Caenorhabditis elegans: one gene and its partners. The protein of the gene in region 1 interacts with the protein of each later gene in a pairwise test. Each region holds a gene or a part of one and is shown on either strand. Other genes may lie near its edges.

What was found.
Region 2: the proteins of arrd-13 (region 1) and memi-3 interact in a two-hybrid assay, tested with the Caenorhabditis elegans proteins (one study listed by BioGRID).
Region 3: the proteins of arrd-13 (region 1) and drp-1 interact in a two-hybrid assay, tested with the Caenorhabditis elegans proteins (2 studies listed by BioGRID).

Annotation. Positions count from the first base shown.
Region 1 is NC_003280.10:13,756,566-13,760,320, forward strand, and holds the start of arrd-13 (Arrestin C-terminal-like domain-containing protein), read left to right. Parts: upstream 1-1,842; 5' UTR 1,843-1,855; coding exon 1,856-2,040; intron 2,041-2,191; coding exon 2,192-2,297; intron 2,298-2,796; coding exon 2,797-2,959; intron 2,960-3,547; coding exon 3,548-3,755.
Region 2 is NC_003282.8:11,401,630-11,405,384, forward strand, and holds memi-3 (MEiosis-to-MItosis transition associated), read right to left. Parts: upstream 1,710-3,755; 5' UTR 1,709-1,709; coding exon 1,229-1,708; intron 1,182-1,228; coding exon 996-1,181; intron 947-995; coding exon 755-946; intron 705-754; coding exon 528-704; 3' UTR 316-527; downstream 1-315. Other genes in the region: cyp-31A2 (CYtochrome P450 family), read left to right, coding at 2,343-2,435, 2,482-2,882, 2,926-3,022, 3,069-3,163, 3,212-3,755.
Region 3 is NC_003282.8:5,536,488-5,540,242, forward strand, and holds the start of drp-1 (Dynamin-1-like protein drp-1), read left to right. Parts: upstream 1-2,000; 5' UTR 2,001-2,002; coding exon 2,003-2,315; intron 2,316-2,365; coding exon 2,366-2,931; intron 2,932-2,976; coding exon 2,977-3,726; intron 3,727-3,755. Other genes in the region: Sex-determining protein fem-1, read right to left, coding at 39-155, 202-567, 623-711, 759-864, 915-961, 1,011-1,071, 1,116-1,241, 1,295-1,369. UniProt on the Caenorhabditis elegans protein: Functions in mitochondrial division. Functions in peroxisomal division. Mediates membrane fission, perhaps mainly of the mitochondrial outer membrane. Mitochondrial fission may be promoted by recruitment to mitochondrial membranes via the egl-1/ced-9 complex.

The DNA of each region.
Region 1 (3,755 bases):
TTTAGTTTTTTTTTTTTTTTTTTTTAGTTCTTTAGTTTTTTTTTTACTTAACAGTTTTGTCTGAGGAAATATTTTTCTGAGTAGTGTGTGTTAGTCACCCCGATTTTGCATTTATTCCTAACAAATATATAATAGGCTGGGTTTTGAAATTCTATTTAAAAAAAAACTGGTCCTATAAAAACGGACGATGAAATTAATGAATTTTTTTTATTTTTAGCATGTTTTAAAGCTATTTTTCTCCATTGTTTGACCTTTTTTGCCAATTTGCCCATTTGCCGGAAATTTCAATTCCGACAAATTGTCGTTTTTCCGACAAATTTTAAATTCCGGCAATGTGCCGATTTGCCGGGATTTTTCATTTTTGGCAAGTTGCCGATTTTCCTAAAATTTCGGCAAATCGTCAATTCGCCGGTTCCCCGATTTGCCGGATATTTTCAATTTTTCCTTTTTTTTTTCAAAATTTGCAATTTGCCGATTTCCTGATTTGCCGGAAATTTCAATTATGGCAATTAGCCAATTTGACGGATATTTTTAATTCCGGCAATGTGCCGCTTAGCCGAAAATTCAAATACCGGCAATTTGCCGATTTGCCGGAAATTATTAATTCCGACAATTTGCCGATTTTCCTAAAATTTCGGCAAATCGGCAGTTTGCCGGTTCCCCTATTTGCCGGATTTTTTTTTTCAATTCCGGCAATTTCCCGATTTGCCGGAAATTTCAATTCCGACAATTTGCCGATTTTCCTAAAATTTCGGCAAATCGGCAGTTTGCCGGTTCCCCTATTTGCCGGATTTTTTTTTCAATTCCGGCAATTTGCCGATTTGCCGGAAAAATCGTTTGCCGCCCACCCCGGGTTCGGCCATTTCTAGCATATTTTTCTCCGTTGTTTGACCTTACAAATTAACTTTCCCGAATGTCAGAAATTTTATCACTATTTCCTATTTAATCAGTAATGCTTCTCCTATGTCTTCTTCCGTTTAGCTTATCAATTCTTCCTGTTTGTGAGCAACGTTTCTTTTTCACAAGTTTAATGGAAAAACGTTGGTCTTTGCCCCGTTCTTTTATCCTCGCTGTTCCCTTTATTTCTCTGCGGCTCTTGCGGAGTGCGATTTTTTTGACCTTCAATACTGCATGTGTCTGTTTGCTTTGTTTCGAGCGGCTATTCCGTAATTTTCATGAAATTGTAAAAAAAAATCTAGTAAAAAATCGTTTAAGAAATTAGAATCAGTTATTAATTTTTTTTTAATTTGAACTTTTAAAATTTATTCTATTACCCAGACACGAGATTTCGCGATTTTTGAGCCACAAATACCAAACACCGGTCTCAACACGACAAATTCTTGATAGAAAGGAAAAGGCGTTCGCCTTTAAAGCGTACTGTAATTTCAAACTTTTGTTGCTGCAGCGATTTCAAATTTCTATGGATTTTTCATAGTTTTATTTTTATATTTGAGAGTTTTTTTTGCTATATTCATGTTTTCCATAAATTAATACATTTTTTTTATCGAAAATGTGTTTATTAGTTATTGAAAACTAAAATCAATTAAAAAAGAAATTTTGAAACTACAGTACTCTTTAAAGGCGCACACTCCTTCTCAAGTACGCAAACACCACATTTTATGACAATTTCTGCAAAATTTATTTCGCTCCTTTTTTTTGAATTAAATTAAATTGTTTTTTTCCTTTCCTTTTCAATTAAAATGCATAATTTTTTTCTATTTTTTTAAAATAAAATATTAAAAATCAAAAATTCGTTTTTTTTTAAATTTTCAGTGTTCTCTCCACCGATTTTCTTCCGGTTTTTTGAATTTTTTAACGATTTTTTAACGATTTTTGTCTAAGTTCCAGGGTTATCATGCCAGAAACGGAGCTTCACGTGATATTCGACCAGCCTAACGAAGTTTTCTTCCCGGGACAACCGATTTCCGGCCGAGTGGTGCTCTCAACGACGAAGGAAAAATACAAGGCTCGGGCGGTGAATATCAAAATTTTGGGATTGGCTCACACCAGTTGGACGGATTATGAGAGTGTTCGCAGAGTGTAAGAAATTTAAGATTTCTGTAGAAAATTTCATTTTTTTTTTGACGAAAAAGCTATTTTTCAAATTTTTTAAAATGGAAAATTGAATAATCAATAAATATTTCCGAATTTTCGAATAACACTAAAAAATTATAAAATTCGAATTTTCCAGTGACGCCGACGGAAAAGTGAGCCACCACCGGCAATCTGTGCACTACTCTGCGAATGTGAACTACCTGGATTATACATTGCTTCTGTGGGCTTGCAAAGATGGATCGGTAGGGTATTTTGAATCAGGGATAGATAGGCAAACCGGCAAAATCGGCAAACCGGCAAATTGACAATCTGCCGCTTTCCAAATTTCCGGCAAAGATGGCATATTGCCGTTTTTCAAGTTTCCGGCTAATTCGGCATATTGTCGTTTTTTCATATTTACATCAAGTTCGGCAATTGCCGTTTTCCAAATTTTCGGCAAATTGCTGTTTTTTTTTTAAATTTCCGGCAAAGTCGGCAAATTGTCGTTGTTCGAATTTCCGGCAAAGTCAACAAATTGCCGTTTTTTCAAATTTCCGGCATATTCGGCAATTGCCGTTTTCCAAATTTTCTGCAAATTGCTGTTTTTTTTTTAAATTTCCGGCTAAGTCGGCAATATGCCGTTTTTTCAAATTTCCGGCAAAGTCAACAAACCGGCAATTTTCCGATTTGCTGAAATTTTCGGTAGCTCAAAATGAAGAATGGTTGAAAATTACAATTATTAGATATCTGAATATTTGTCAGAACGAGTTAGCAGCTGGAGAATACGCCTGGTCATTTTCTTATAATCTTCCTCTCAACGTTCCGCCAAGCTTTGAGGGAAAATATGGATATTTGAGATACTCGGTGACAGCTGAAGTGGATCGGCCATGGAGATTGGATAAGGCAAAGAAGCGATGCATCACTGGTAAGGGCTACAGTTTTAAGCCTAAGCCTGACAATCTAAGCCTGAACCTAAGCCTGAGCCTACGCAGCTGAAGCCTAAGCCTAAACCTAACAATCTAAACATAAGCCTAAGTCTAAGACTAATCCTAAGCAGGAGTGGCATTTTTCGATTTTTCGATGTTTTTTCAGTGAAAATTGAAAAATCGAAAAGAATGTTAAGAAAATTAACCATAAAATATGATTTTTTTTAAAATCTAATTTTGCTTATATTGATGAGAAAAAAACATCAAAATTAATTCTAAAAATAAGAATAATGGCCAAAATATTGTGCTAATATTTTGGAAAATCTAAAAAATTTTCGCAAAATCAGAAAAACGATAATTTTTTAAACATTTTTCGATTTTCAAAAAAATCGAAAAACGAACACCCTTGATCCTAAGCCTAAGCATAGGCCTAAGCCTAAATCTAGACCACTGTCTAAGCCTAAGCCTAAGCCAAAGCATAAGCCTAGGCCTAAGCCGAAGCTTACGCCTAAGCCTAAGCCTAACGGTCTAAGTCTAAGACTAACATTCTAAGCCTAAGCCTAAGCCAAAAATTCAAACATTTTCAGTTTCCCCACTGATCGACCTCAATGTGATCCCCCATGCACTCACCCAAATCAACGACCAGGCTAGCGAGAACCTTGGCTGTTGCTGCTTCAAAAAAGGATATCTCGAACTTCGTGTAAACATCCCGAAAACTGGATTCGTACCCGGCGAGACTGTTCCCATGAACATCCATATTCTAAATCACTCCTCCGTTCCCGTCACCGAAGTCAA
Region 2 (3,755 bases), on another chromosome or scaffold:
TTCGAGCCAAGATATCGGTCAGGAAACGACATTTAGAAATTGCAGAATTATGATCACTATGTAATGTGGCCAATTGCCTATCAAGCCTCAAGTATCGAAAAGTTGCATGTCGCAAGCTGGAATTGCCAGCGTTTTCAGAAATTTGCGTTCATTAATTCTAATTTCGAATTCATCTTTTTAGGCTGGAGGCATCTTCCATATCGTAAATCATTGTACCCGGCTGTATAAAAATTTTGATATCTGAAACCAGAAAATTATCAGCTTATCAGAAGAATTTAATTTGAAAAATTTTTCAGAGTCATGTTAAAAAGATTTTTTAAATCAACCAGTTCATGATTTGGTAAAGTTAATTCAAGCAATATACATGTTGAACATAAACAAAATATTCGAGGGTCATGGTGAGTTGGAGGAATGGAAAATAAAATAGGGGAAAGTTAGTTGATATATTTAACAGGAACCACTTAGTTATTCAGATAGATATATACAAAAACTTATGCACATTATAACTAATTATTGGACAAATGAATTCACTCTTCATCCAGTTCGAATGTTTCGAGGAACGAGATTAGGTCGTCGACAAGCACCATTCCATTTCTCAACGAGACCATATCGTTTTCGACCTCGAATTCATGAAATTCGACTGGCTCTTCGACAATCTGCACTCGTCGGTTCATGCACTTCACCGTTTGCTCCAATTCGATGTACTGAAAACGTTATAAATTGGAAACCGATAAATTATTGCTATTCAACTCACTCTATATCTCCGGAAAGGATCCCTGGCGCTCGAGTTGTTATTGTACACGATCCTCGTTTCCACGTGGCGCTTTCCTCGAATCGAACACGTGATTGATGCAGTCGAGGCCATCAGTCGGCCTTGTGAATCGAGTCCTGGCTCGAGATTTCCGTATTCCCGGCAGTTTGTTGTTCGCAGGCGACGAGTGGTAGTCTGAAATATGAAAAGTTATCGGTGTGAAATAGAAAACTATTTTACGTACACTCTTGCTCTGTGATCGGATCAATGTTGCCACCACAAAGCTGTCTGTCATCTGGAAGCCTTCGATTTCCATCTCCAGTTTTTCGAGAATTGCAAACAATTGCTGGAACGGCATTGCAGTCTTTGCCTGGATCGCAAATCGAACCACATTTTGACCCGTCTCTTTCGGCTCGGCCAGGAGGGAAGTCTGAAATAAAAAAATTTTTTTGGGAAAAATATACTCAAGAAACTAACTAGAATCAGACTGGAGATATCTTCGGCCGAAAGCATGCGGCACTGAGCGGCGAAATAGTGTGGTCGCTGGTTCGGATGAAGGAGCACGTGCTCGACAAGCGCTTTCTCCGATTCTCTGGTCGTGTTGAACCATCTTTGCGAGAAGAAGTCGTAGCGCTTGAGACGGAGATTTTCAATCGGCATTGTTTGAATGTCTCTTAGCACTTTGACAGCTTCATCGCGGATGATTGCCTTGCTCGGCTTCTTGTCGACGAGCTTTGGAGTTTCATCGATACGATGCAGGGAACGGTAGTTCTTATCCTCGACGAGCTCCACGTCTTCTCCATGCCCTTCGATAATTGCATCATGATTGATGTTGGGTTGTGGTGGGAGGGCTGAGCAACCGGCTCGAGCGGTTTCCAATTGATATTCATCGGTGTAGTTGGCCACGTATTTGGTCGCCGTCAATTCGCGAAGAACGGTACGGGACGGAGCTGACATTCTAAAAAACGTTGGTTTGAAAAATTAATGGAAAAATAAGAATTCGAAGCAAAAATTAAAGATAAAACTTTAAAAAAAACAATGTACTCAAGTGATTAACAGATTAATAATGCTTCACCGATAAAACAATATTTATGAAATTTCATTACGGCTCTCTGAACATCAGCAAAGTAGAAGAATGTTCACAATCAAAAATTTTCGTTGGGCCTAAAATAACACAATTGTTGCGCTGACTTTTCGCGGGGGAGATCGAATAGGTCAAATAGGCGATGCATTCATAAAAAGTACAATACTTATTGAAAAATAATTTTGGATTTGTTTTCTTTTTTTTTTGTTGAAAAATTAACGCGATTGAAAGTTTTTAATCATTAAATCAAGATTTAAATATCATGATATATCAGAAAACAACAAAAATCAGTTTTAGAATTTTTTTGAGCCTACCGTACTCTTTAAAGGCGCATGGCGATTTTCAGATGGGTCTCACTACGACATGCGTGAAATTTGAATGTTGATTCAAAAACTGTTCGTTTTTTTTCTTTTTTTAGAACCAAAGCTTAACAAACGCTTTTTCTCATGTTTTAAACGCGTTTTGCTCGTTTCTTCGCACAAATAAATTATTTCAGAAGGTTTTGCAATGGGGGTCATCATCCCCGCTGTACTTCTCGCTATGGCGACTGTGATCGCTTGGCTTCTCTACAAACATTTGAGAATGCGTCAAGTTTTGAAGGTCAGATTGCAAAATGCATTCAAAGATAACTCAAATAAATTTCCAGCACCTCAATCAGCCACGATCATATCCAATCGTTGGTCACGGACTCATCACCAAGCCCGATCCAGAGGGATTCATGAACCAAGTGATTGGAATGGGATATTTGTATCCAGATCCACGGATGTGTCTTCTCTGGATTGGCCCATTTCCATGTCTGATGCTCTACTCTGCCGATCTTGTTGAACCAATTTTCTCATCGACGAAACATCTGAACAAAGGGTTCGCATACGTTTTGCTCGAGCCATGGCTTGGAATCAGTATTTTGACGAGCCAAAAGGAACAATGGCGTCCAAAACGAAAACTATTGACACCAACATTCCATTATGATATTCTCAAGGATTTTTTGCCGATTTTTAACGAGCAATCAAAGATTTTGGTTCAGAAATTGTGTTGCCTCGGAGCAGAGTAAGAATTTTAATTGATAACTCGTTCAAATGTTTCTTTTCAGTGAAGAAGTTGATGTTCTCTCCGTTATAACCCTTTGCACTCTTGACATCATTTGCGAAACCTCTATGGGGAAAGCTATTGGTGCTCAACTCGCGGAGGTTGGGTAAACAACTCGAATCTCAAAATTTCTAAATACTTTTTCAGAATAACGAGTATGTATGGGCGGTGCACACAATCAATAAACTGATTTCAAAAAGAACAAATAATCCGTTGATGTGGAATTCATTTATTTATAATTTGTACGGTAGTTTTATCATTAATAAGGTGAATTAATTTGTAATTTTCAGAACAGAGGACGGACGGACTCATGAAAAATGTCTTCGTATTCTCCATGATTTCACAAAGAAAGTGATTGTCGAGAGAAAGGAAGCTCTACAGGAGAATGATTATAAGATGGAAGGTCGTCTCGCATTTTTGGATCTTCTTCTCGAAATGGTGAAAAGTGGACAAATGGACGAAACAGATGTTCAAGCAGAAGTTGACACATTTATGTTTGAGGGTCACGATACAACATCTACAGGATTAATGTGGGCAATTCATCTTCTGGGAAATCATCCTGAAGTTCAGAGAAAAGTTCAAGCGGAACTGGATGAAGTAATGGGCGACGATGAGGACGTGACTATTGAACATCTCTCCAGAATGAAATATCTCGAATGTGCACTAAAAGAAGCTCTGCGTCTCTTTCCATCTGTTCCAATTATTACAAGAGAACTGAGTGATGATCAAGTCATTGGAGGTGTTAATATTCCAAAAGGAGTCACTTTTCTTCTCAACCTGTACCTTGTTCACCGTGATCCTGCTCAATGGAAGGATCCTGATGTATTCGACCCG
Region 3 (3,755 bases), on another chromosome or scaffold:
AACTTTTAAAGCATTTTTTTTTGAAAACTTAAACGAACCTGCATTCTCTGAGCTTCGATATTTCCATCGAGAAGCTCTACTTGTGCAATATTCTGAGCTTCACGTTGATATTCGTACACTTCTTGGGGCTCGAAGAATGTCTCCATTTCACGCACCTAAATTATTATTTTTTTAAATAGAACAATTAAATTTAGAACTAACCAATCGAAGATCATCTGCATGAAGTGGAACTTCCATTGATTGTTTCCAACAATTCATCGCCGACATTGCATCCATTTTCTTATCAAGTAGCGTACTTCCCAACAGCTTCAACGCATCTCTTTTATGAATTCCAGATGGCATTTGATCAGCAAGAACATTCAGAACATCCAGAAAACCGGAAAGTGCTGCACCCATCAATGGATCAACTCCTTGTATGTCTTTCATGAGGACCGATCCGTGTTTCAGAAGAATTTTCACAACTTCCACATTTCCACTTTCTGCAGCGTCATGAAGAGCCGTATTTCCTCTCTCGGTTTTCTTGTTCACATCGATTCCGGTTTTTAGGAGCTCTTCCACAATTCCAACCTACAAAATTTTAGTTTTTCTCATATTTTGTTAATTAAAAATTTCAAAATCATACTTTATTTCTGTAGGATGCAATCATCAGGCACGTATGACCATGACGATTCGGTATATGTGGATCTGCACCTTTTTCGAGTAAATATTTCACTGAAAATCTTATTTTTAAAAAAGCTTCTTCGACTTCAAGGAATTACCAATATCCAAGTGTCCATCGTAACATGCACCTCTTAATGGAGTACTTCTTGTGTTAGTTGCTTGATTTACATCTGCATTTGCCTTTTCGATCAAGAGCTTTACGATCTGAAATCGAAATAAAACATTATTGCATTAAATAATGAAATATTTTTCACTTCAATGTGTCCAGCAGCGGAGGCAGCCCACAAAGGAGGTGTTCCTTCTGAAAACTATTGTTTTATTTTCTTTTCAGAACAGAAATAAAAACTTACGAATGTTTTCGTTGTCAAATTCCACAACACCACGAACAGATGGATCGGCTCCAATTTCTAGCTGAAAATCTTCTCATTTAATTAATTAATTTTCATTTTTCCCACCAAATATTCGACGACATTTGCGTGTCCATTTCTTGCAGCAATCACAAGTGGATATCGTCCGTCTTGATCAGAATTGAAGCAATCAATTATCCATTGTCGATCGTTTCTTGAATTTATTGTGAAAACCTGGAAATTCATTTATTTTGACAACTTTTCTTTAACTTGAGCTTTTTGCTTACTTTAATTCTCTGCAAATTTCCAACCGCCGCAGCATTATAAATTACTGTTCGAAAATGATGTCCATTTGGTGTCATACCGCCAATTTTTCCAAAAAAAAACTGGCGGAATTTTAATAGAAATTGCAGAAATTCGAGAAGAAAAAGAAAAGAAAATACTCCTCGTGATTTGTCGTCGGATAGGGTGCACGGTCTGCAATCTGACGTGAGGATTATTGCGGAGTGCTCGAAATTTTGAGTTCAGCGCCGCGGCGGAAATATCGGATATCAGAGATTTTCCCGTCGGTTTTGTCAACTTTTGCCTCAATTTTATCAATTTTTCCGTAAAAATCTCAAAGATCGTTACTGTTTGTATCATTGTTTGAAACAAACTACGCAGAATGATGCAAAATTGTATAGGAACTCCCATGGTTGACATTTTCCCAGGGAAAAATGAGTAAGTGGCAGGATCGAAAAGATGATATAAAAGTTGGCGTTCACAGTCAATCGAAGGCCAAGTAGACTATCTGAATTTCTATTTGCGCACATTTTATCACTTGTTATCACTGGTGTGTTCAAATGCATTGTTTTTCACTTTGTGATCACTGGCAGTTGTTCTTTCTCATTTCAAACATCATTTCGCAACTGCCTCGTCATTTTTACTCTTCTCCTCGTAAAACTCTTTATATAAATGATACTCTCATTTCGATTCAAAAATTTTAAATTTTACAGATGGAAAATCTCATTCCTGTCGTCAATAAACTACAGGATGTTTTCGCAACGTTAGGCAGGAAAGAAGATCAAATTCAACTTCCACAGATTGTAGTCGTCGGATCACAGTCGGCCGGAAAGTCTTCAGTGCTCGAAAATCTAGTCGGTCGGGATTTTCTGCCGCGTGGTACTGGAATTGTCACTCGCAGGCCATTGATTCTTCAGTTAAATCACGTTGCTCTCGATGATGAATCCAAAAGAAGACGGTCAAATGGAACACTTCTCACAGATGATTGGGCAATGTTCGAACATACTGGCTCTAAGGTTTTCACAGGTGAGAATTTAGTAATTTGAATATTGCGAGAAATTTAAACAATTTTCCAGACTTCGATGCCGTGCGAAAAGAAATCGAAGATGAAACTGATCGTGTAACTGGAGTGAATAAAGGAATCTCTCTTCTTCCAATCAGTTTGAAAATTTATTCCCACAGAGTTGTCTCCCTCTCCCTGGTCGATCTTCCCGGCATCACAAAGATCCCAGTTGGTGATCAACCAGTCAATATTGAAGAGCAAATCCGTGAAATGATTCTTCTCTACATTTCAAATCCTTCTTCTATCATTCTGGCTGTAACTCCAGCGAACCAGGATTTCGCTACTTCGGAGCCTATCAAGTTAGCTAGAGAAGTGGACGCAGGTGGACAAAGAACTCTCGCAGTTCTCACGAAATTGGATTTGATGGATCAAGGAACTGATGCGATGGACGTATTAATGGGGAAAGTGATTCCAGTAAAGTTGGGAATTATTGGAGTCGTTAATCGATCTCAACAGAATATTCTCGACAACAAACTGATCGTGGATGCAGTGAAAGATGAGCAAAGCTTTATGCAAAAGAAATATCCAACATTAGCTAGCAGAAATGGAACTCCTTATTTGGCAAAGAGATTGAATATGGTAAGAATTTCAATAAATAAAAAATTATTTAGAAATTAATTTCAGCTTCTCATGCACCATATTCGCAACTGTCTTCCTGCACTGAAAGCCCGCGTGTCTATCATGAACGCCCAATGCCAATCGGATCTTGTTGCATTCGGTGAACCAGTTGAAGATAAGAACAGAACACTTCTTCAAATCATAACTCGATTCGCAACTGCTTATACATCAACTATCGAAGGAACTGCCCGCAATATTGAAACAACTGAGCTATGCGGAGGTGCTCGTATATGCTACATTTTCCACGATACCTTCGGAAGATCTTTGGAATCTGTCAATCCATTGGAAAACCTCACACAATTGGATATTTTGACTGCGATTAGAAACGCGACAGGACCAAGGCCAGCTCTTTTCGTACCAGAAGTCTCATTTGAATTGCTTGTCAAGCGACAAATTCAACGATTGGAGGAGCCATCGTTGAGATGCGTTGAGCTGGTACACGAAGAAATGCAACGAATGGTTCAGCATTGCGGATTCACTACTCAACAGGAGATGATTCGTTTCCCAAGATTGTACGATAAAATCAATGAGGTCGTTAGTGGAGTTCTGAAAGAGAGGCTGAAGCCCACCAATGAGCTTGTCGAGAATCTTGTAGCCATTGAACTTGCTTACATTAATACAAAACATCCAGAATTCACAGAAGCCAATTTGGTGACACTTTTGAAAGAGGAGCTTCTTCTCGACGATCGGCATGGTCGCAGTAGAAATCGACATGCATCAACCGGAGAAAGAGCGGTCAGTGCTCATGGAGAACAGGTGGGGGCAGGAACTTCCTGCCAGGAAGT